Linked DNA regions of Rattus norvegicus. Each later gene encodes a partner of the first gene's protein in a complex. Links are inferred from orthologs where the notes say so. Each region holds a gene or a part of one and is shown on either strand. Other genes may lie near its edges.

Region 1 (4,157 bases):
CACTGACCTCTTGCCACAACAAATTGTACCTAACTTGAAAACTCAAAACAACACACATTCTTTATCTTACAGGTCTCAAATCAAAGGTTTAAAATGAACCATTAAGACCAGTCTCTCTCTCTCTCTCTCTCTCTCTCTCTCTCTCTCTCTCTCTCTCTCTCTCTCTCTCTCTCTGTCTCTCTCTCTCTCTCTCATCTAGAAGGTATCTAAATTCCTTGACTTAGGATCTTTGTCCATCTCCAGCAAGTTAACATTGCATTTTTAATATTTGACTCTGACTCTGACGTTACATGGCTTTTGATTTTAACCTCTTATGAATATATAAGATTCTGATTGAAAAAAGCTTCTGATTACAATAAGCTCCCATCTCAGGTTCCTTCATGCAGAAGATCCCACCATTTTCTAAAGAACTATTAGCAATCAGTGGCTGCTGGAAACTAGAGAAGCATTTCCTTTAGTGGTGTAATCACTGATGAGTAGTCTATATTCCTGTATGTAATCCTAAGTAAATTAATCCCCCCTCCTCCATCGCTTCCTCTCCCCCTCCCCCCACATACAACATACAACATAATAAAGTATGCAATGTTCATCTTTACTATGTAATGCACTGGTTCTCAACTTTCCTAATGCTGTGACCCTTTAATGCAATTCCTCATGGGTTGGTGATCTCCAACCATAACAAATTTTCACTGTACTTCACAACTGTAATTTTACTACTGTTATGAATCACAATATAAATATTTGATATGCAGTATACCTGATATGTGACTCCCCCAAAGAGTTCATGACCCACAGGCTGAAAACTTCTGCTATGAGGTAGCATATTCACAGTTCTGCAAATCAGACCTGGACACCGTCAGGGAGATGTTAGCCTATTTTAGACTATGTCATGGGAAGATCACTGCTGGCATTACTTTGAGAGCAGAGCTGGTTCTAATCCCAGTTTTAGCACCTCCTTCTCATTGTGCAACCAGCACTCCATTGAGCCTTTTCTCTCTCACCATAAAACTGTAACATAGGTGATGTGTCCAACATATACCACATTTTCAATACATACAACCCTATTTCTTCAAAGAACTGTAAGACGGTTCTTGAAAAACTCAATAGAAGAAATTCTATTACTAAACTAGAGGGTTAATAAAGGATCTTCCAAATTCCCTTCTGAGGCCATTAAGACATAGCAGCGTTAAAGCTTTCCTTTCTCCTATTGTTCTCAAGACCTCTTGTCTGCAGACCCAGTGTCAAAGTAATCTCAGCAGATTGTCTACAGCTCTCAGCCTCTGCTTTCTGCCAACCCCTCCCGGTCCTGCTCTCCGGTTCTGCCATCCAGCTCTCTGGTTGGATTTGAGTAGGCCTGGTGTGTATTGATTGGTCAGGTCTGCAGCAGAGACCAGCAGAGATTCCCTCCTTCACATCTGTCCACACGCCTGACCATAAGAAAGTTGCTGCCTGTGACTAGCAGAGAAGGAGGCAAAGGGTTACCTCCCTTTCTCTCTTGAGGAAGAGTGGAAGCTTCTGCCTCAGCCCTAGACTCTCCAGCTGAGCTGGGAAGGAAGCCAGAAAAGACACCGGATAGGAAAGTAACAAAGGAGGTAGGTAACCAACCATTGTTCCTTCTCTCAAGATCACAGAACAAATACCTTGCCTAACCTCATAACTAGGCCATCTTTGACATTTGCCTGCTGAAGGAGAGGTGGTAGATATCCCTGTATGTCAGGAAAATTCAGTTTCTTGTCCATTAATATAACCTGGAAGGCAAGTTGTGTTTTCTACTATCTTCTCTCACCTCTGAAAGTTGTTGACTGTTCCGCTACAAGTTTCAAGTTTTGTGGAGATTTTTCCCCCTTTCATTATAGAATATCCTATCTGTGATTGATTGACAAGTTTCCATTGATGGTGATTCCACCAACATAGCTCTTGGCTCCAGAACTTTGCTTTTATATGTTTCTTTCTGCCTACAAGATGATGCCAGAGAAGACAGTGCATATAATTCCGAAGACTGTTAACTTCTAGTGACAAGATTTCTCAGGAAATCACACTTTCGTGCTTTGGAACCTAAGGGGTTAAAAAGTCCCGCCATTCCTGGAGCAGAATCAAGCCTATTTACCCAAGCTTATCACCAGAGCAGCCAGGTCAATCATTTACTGACTCAGCACTGTTTCTTACCCGTAAAGGAGGACCACCAAAGTCCTTGCCTGACTGAGTGCCCCCACAAAACATACATATACACATTGTTATATAGAAAGTATTCACAGAAGCCAGCAAGAGCCCATATGCTTTTCTAACCCCTATACGTCTTTGTTCTTTCCAGAGTGGTAAGCACCCAGGAACCATATCAGCTCAGTGATTCATTAACTCAATCAAGACTCACTCACAGGACCAAAGCCTCGTTTCACCTGAAGCACAAAAAGTTGTAGCTTTAGAGAGAGCCTCAGCTGTCACTGGAGACCCAGGAAAGGTAGTTGAATGATCCAACAAGACAATAGCTTATTCTTGGAGGAGAGAAGAGTATCTAGAAACAATCGGAAGGGGATAGAAATGTCCTCAATTTTACACATTCCAAAAACTTTATTTTTAACAAATACGATTCACTCTTCTTTGGTCTGAATGTAACCCCACTAGTTGGAGGAGTGGTTTATCGTGACTACACAGACCTGGTAGGCCTATGTAATGATTTCTAGCTCTTACAATTATTACTCAGGTGGTTTGTGGTGGTGGTGGTGCCCGATTCTTCTGAACTCCATTTAGGAAACAGATTGACCCATGCACTGCAAAGTGATGTGTGATACTTATTTGGTCAATCATTTATGGCTAGGAGGTGAATACCCCCAGGTGAGGACTGTGACTGGAATTTTTAGTGGCTTGGCAGTTAATTAGATGCAGGAATTGAGACCACCGCAGACATTAAACCCCATTTGAAATTTGGACCATGTCTGAGCCACCTCCCAGGAGTGTCTTGGAAAATAACCATTTGTGAATTTTGTGATGATGCTCTGCAAAACGTTAAGTGTATCTGTAGCTGTAACCTCAAGTGTGTCTGTAAATAGCACAAGTGACAGAGGTGGGCAAAGGCTTCAGTGCATTCAAATAAACCGGCAGATTTGCCTACATGCTGCAGACTGCCTTCTTGTGCTTACATATCTTCTCTGTGTAACATCTAGCTCATACTGAGAAAAACGTCAGTGCAGTAGATCAGGCTCTTCTGTGCATTGTACATTAGCTAAAGAGAAATTATTGTTAAGACTGACTAGTTTAGTGTAGGCGCTGTCATTTTTTGTACACATTAGAAAGTTAGACCCGTGAAAGTCAATTAATTTTTTCCTTGACAATGCCGTGGTCAGCCAGAATCAAACTCATTTCTACCTTGTTCCCAACCTGTTGTCTTTCTCCTGAGTCAAAGTCGAGTCTCTCAGAACACTTGAGGACACACAGTAACACATTCCAGAGAGCCAAGCCAGCAAGGTAAACAAGCAATGCTCACCAACCCAGATTCTGCACTAGTCTGTGGCTGTGCTCTACCTAAGGCCAGTGGGTGTCGCTACTACAGAATGGCAAAAGCAGCCAATTTCATGCCTCTCAGATAGAAGATAAGAAAAGGAAACCAGCAGAGAGAAAAAGGATGTCCGGCCAGGTGTAACAGTCACTAGAGCATTCTGGATTCTAGTGAACTTAGTTCATTCTGAACTTAGGACTCAGCCCTTTCATTTCATGCCCTCAAACCCAGCGGTCCCTGCTGGAAGTGTTAGCCAGAAAAGGAAATGTTACTGTGTTTCTGGGACCTCAAAAGTTTACCATTTCATGTATTCCAGCTAATGCCTCCTCATCTAAACCCAGGGATTTGGTAAAATGAGGCTTTTACTAGTCAGGAGCCATTAGCAATCCATTCTGTTAAAGCTCCAATATAACCGACTACATTGATACACATTAGCCTGGAGTCTGTCTTGGCTTAAGGTTTCTCTTGCTGTGAAGAGACTCCAAGAATATGGCAAGTCTTATAAAGAATAATATTTATGCAGGGCTGGCTTACGGTCTCAGAGGTTTAGTCCATCATGGTGTTGTGTAGGCAGGCATGGTACTTAACTAGGTGATGAGAGTTCTACATCTGAATCAGCAGGAGGCAGGGAAAGGAGAGAGAGAGAGAGAGAGAGACAAATATA
Region 2 (4,289 bases), on another chromosome or scaffold:
TCAATGCCTTAGCTCAAAAATGAAACAAAAATCAAAATGTTCTGTTCCCATAAAGCACATACTCCCTTTACAAAAATCCTATTCTTGCTGGGTATGATGGCACAAACATGTAATCCCAGGGGGACAAAAGAAGAAACGAAGTTCAAGGCCAGCCTAGGCAACATGGTAAGATCCTATCTCAAAGAAGAAAGAGGGGAGAGAGGACCGCCTTGCCAAAACGGTTGTTCTTCATAAGTCCTGTGCTGCTTAGCTAGTCCAGGAACTAAGAACAATGCTGTTTGAAAACAAAGCAAACAACACACAAATGTCCTTCCCAGTTCTGGCCATAGAGATGTCTTTTAAATTCCATTTTTAAAATCCTCTATGCCCACACTTCCTGACTTGGGTTTACTAGACATAATGTAATGACTTTCTTTCCCCAGCTCCTGGAAATGCCCTTTAGGTCGGAGTCTGGGATGCGGCTTCTGACTAACAATAAAGTCCACTCCCACTTCCTCCAGACCTGGCAACCAGGGAATCCTCACTGCTGAGGAACCCCTGCCCTCAAAGAGGAAACTTGCTTCCCTCAGAAGCCTCAGCTACATGCTCTAAGAGAAAACCTTGAAACACTGACAGCCAGTGTTGGAATCAGCGTGCTCAAAGTTAATTTTCCCCCAGAAAGCCAGCTGCACTCAGTGACCCATGAGCAGAAAATCTCCAAGCAAGAAAGGGGGTTTGAAACAAGAAATAAAATCAGAATCCTACCAATAGACAATTGCTTTCTCTGGTTAACAAACAGACCTTTTGAGTTCCCTTCACATTGCTGTCAGTTCTTACTGAAAGCAAGGGTTTGTTTTGGTCCCACGTGTTGGAAAAGTCATATTCCCATTATTAAGTCTGTATAGCATGCTCCCTCCCTCCCCCTACATTTCCCTGTTAAAAACTCCTTTCCCAGACAGTAATGCTGCCACGGGCTTCTAACCCTAGGACTCAGGAAGCAGAGACAGGCAGATTTCAGTGAGTTTGAGGCCTGAGTGGTCTACCCTATGCTGTGGCTCAGGCCAGACACAGCTACTTAGTAAAATCCTGTTTCAAAAATAAAAAGTAATAAAACAAAATTTAAACTCCTTTCTCTGAAAGTGAACCCTGAAAACACAACTATTAACCTTTTCTCAAGAAGCCCCAGGCAAGATCTAAATAGTCAGCCGCCTTCCTAACTGCTCTGGTGTATAAACACCAACAGAGTTGTAGAACTGTGCCCCCAAGAAACCAGTTTCCCCCTAAGCTACGAATATTCCAAGTGAGTTTCTCACACCCTAACTGGACTCTGCAAAAGAGTATTTTATACTGATATGTAAGAATAACACTCATGTTCTTTTACTTAAACAATACATGATAGGATGTAGGGAAACTGAGAAAATATAAAACTATTTTCTCTTTACTTTCTGGGAAGATGTCTCACAAATATTTGTGGCACTTTTAAATACTCCCCACTCCTGTTCCCACCTGCACATACACTTCCCTGCTCGTTCTGTAGTAGTGTAGGAGGCTGGGTTCAAGCACATGTCCCTGATGGGCATTCTCTTGCAATATGGGAAACTGAGATTCAGGGTCTGAGCGCACTTTCCAAGACTGGAGCTCTGCGGGCATCATATAGAGAATCTGAGGTTCCACTACAGCTCCCTGACTGGAATCTGAGGTATATTATAGGGAATCTGGGGTGTAGCGTCCCACTACAGTTCCTAAATGAAGTCTGTGGTATTATTGTAGGAAGTCCAGGGTGTGGGGTAAAATTCCCTAACTGGGATCTGTGGTATGGTGGGAATTCTGGGGTTCCCCGATTGGAGCTCTGTGTTATCAGAGGCTATGGTGTGGTGGTGGTGGGGTGGTGGGGGCAGGTGGGGGGGGGGGGGTGTGAAATGGGCTTACACTATCCTGGATGAGTCTGTGGCATGGTGAGGTGCCCATGGTGTAAGACTGTGTGCAAGTCCCTGACTAGAGTTCCGTGGTACTAGAATTCTGGGGTGTTTGGGTGCCAGCACACTTCCCTGACTGGATGGACCCTGTGGTGTGGTGGGGAGTCCAGGTGAGAGCTGGAAGCACACTTCCCTGACTGGAGGCTGTAGTGTGGTGGGGATTCTGGGGTGTGGGGTCCCAGCACACTTCCCTGATTGGAGTTCTGTGGTATCAAAGTCTATGGTGTGGTGGAGGGACGAGTGTGAGATGGGCTCACACTATCCCGGCTGGAGACTATGGGTGTGTATGGGGGGGGGGGGGGTAAGGGAGTCTGGGTGTGAGCTGGAAACACACTTCCCTAACTGGAGTCTGTAGGAGGGAGTCCGGGTGTGAATTGGGAGCACACTTCCCTAACTGAAGACTGTGGTGTGAAGGAAGGGGAGACCCGGGTGTGAGCTGGGAACACGCTTCCCTGACTGGAGTCTGTGGAAGGGAGTCTGGGTGTGAGCTGGGAGCACACTTCCCTGATTGGAGTCTGTGGGGGGAGTCCGGGCACACTTGCCTGACTGGAGTTCTGTGCTGTGGGGAGTCCGGGTGCGGGAACCGAGGACCCGGACGAGCCCTTCCTGTCACCCCGAGGCTGCCCCCCACTCCCTAGAGATCCCCGGGAACGCGGGCGCGGGTCGCAGAAGGAACCGCCCGCGGCTGGCTTACCTGAGGCGAAGGGCCGCCGAGCTCCACAAGTTGCAGTTCCGCCTCCCGGCACCCGCCCGGCTGCCAGATCGCCGCTCCCGTCGCGGCCGCCCCCGCGCCCTACACGGCGACAGGAGCCGGGGCCCGAGCACAGCGCCCGGCTGACATCACCGCCGCCCAGGTGCCGCCTCCCCTCGGTCCTCCTCGGCCCGCCGCCCCGCCCCCGGCGGGAACCAGCCCTGGGGGCGGAGGGGGCAGGGCCTTGCTCCTGCGGCTCGCTGATTGGCCGGGCGCGCGGTCACTCCGAGGCGCCGCCGGGTCTCCCACATTCCTGGCGGAGCCGGGCAGAGCTGGGAGTGGGCGTCGGTGGGGAGCGCGGCCGGTCGGATGCGGTCCGCAGGGCGCGGATAAAGGGCTGTGGAGAGCCGGGCGGTTGGTCGCTGCTCTTCCCGGGTCGGAAGCGACGCCCACCCCGAAAGACCGCCTCTGTGTCGTGGACTGGGCGGACGTGGGCGGCGAGGTTATAAAGTAAAGGCCCCGGAGGTCTCCTGCCCTGCAGCGCGGGCCGGGGTCAGTCCGGGAGAAACTGAGGACTTGCAGAGTCTAGGTAGACTGGGATCCCAGACGTGGCCACCCTAGCTCCGCGTGGTCATCTGGCGGCGCTCAACCACGTGGCTGCTTTTGCACTTAGTGATAAGACAAAAAAAATAAAAATAAAAACAAGCTCCCAGAGAATAAAATGGACTCTCCAGAGGGTGGGGGAAATATTTTACTATGTACATTTGGTTTGGTTCCTCTCTCTCTCTCTCTCCCTCTCTCTCTCTCTCTCTCCCCTGTGATACACATCAAGGCTGATTTTCAAATTGTTATCTTCCTAGGAGCTGAGATTACGGACCCATGCTACCAAACTCAGCACCAACCTGCTTTTTAACGATTTTTTTTTTAATTTGTCTTGTTTTTGGTTTGTCTTGTCTTTAAACTGTGTGGACCAGCCGTGAACAGCCAGCTGTCTGCCAGCCTCTGCCTCTAAGATTGCTGAAATCAAAGATGTGCACCACCACACCTAGCTATTTTTGTTATTTTGTTTAATTATGTGTATGTATGTGTACTCATGGAGGCTAGAAGCCTTGAGTTCTGACAGTCATGAGGTAGGGGCTGTGGGCTGAACTCAGTGCAAAAAGAGCAGAAGGGCTTAACTGCTTGGACATCTCCTTAGCCCCTGCGCTGAACTTTTTAAGTGCCATAAGGTTGCTGTTCTGATGCACAACCGAAAAGGGAGAACCCTCACAACTGAGTTCAAACCACATGGTAATAATTACTGTTGAACCAATTGCAGCGACTGAGCTAACAATTAAGAATTAACTACTATTTACCCTCTGGTGGATATCAGCTGTCTAATCCTCTTGGCTGCAAAGTCGGGCAGATTCTCAGGAGCCCTTCTTTCAGTTTCCCCTGTCAGGCCCAGGACAGAACTGAATGTCCAAAAGCAGCTTTCCCGATACAGAACATGATGTAGGTGTCAAACTATATCCACCACCATCTAGAAGCACAATTAATCGATTAGTTTCTGTTAGCTTTTCGTTGGCTATGGGTCCCCCCACCCTAGGAGCAGGAGGCAGTGTGTTTGTTTGTATGTTGATTGGGGAGAGGGGGGGTGATTT

The links. The genes of interacting proteins can lie anywhere in the genome.
Region 2: Phldb2 (region 1) and Ppfibp1 share a complex: the UniProt entries of both Homo sapiens proteins name them as parts of the cortical microtubule stabilization complex. The link is inferred for Rattus norvegicus from reciprocal best matches to the Homo sapiens genes PHLDB2 and PPFIBP1.

What each region holds. Positions count from the first base shown.
Region 1 is NC_086029.1:68,320,387-68,324,543, forward strand, and holds the start of Phldb2 (pleckstrin homology-like domain family B member 2), read left to right. Parts: upstream 1-1,351; 5' UTR 1,352-1,592; intron 1,593-4,157. UniProt on the Homo sapiens protein: Seems to be involved in the assembly of the postsynaptic apparatus. May play a role in acetyl-choline receptor (AChR) aggregation in the postsynaptic membrane.
Region 2 is NC_086022.1:181,537,995-181,542,283, reverse strand, and holds the start of Ppfibp1 (liprin-beta-1), read right to left. Parts: upstream 2,819-4,289; 5' UTR 2,650-2,818; intron 1-2,649. UniProt on the Homo sapiens protein: May regulate the disassembly of focal adhesions. Did not bind receptor-like tyrosine phosphatases type 2A.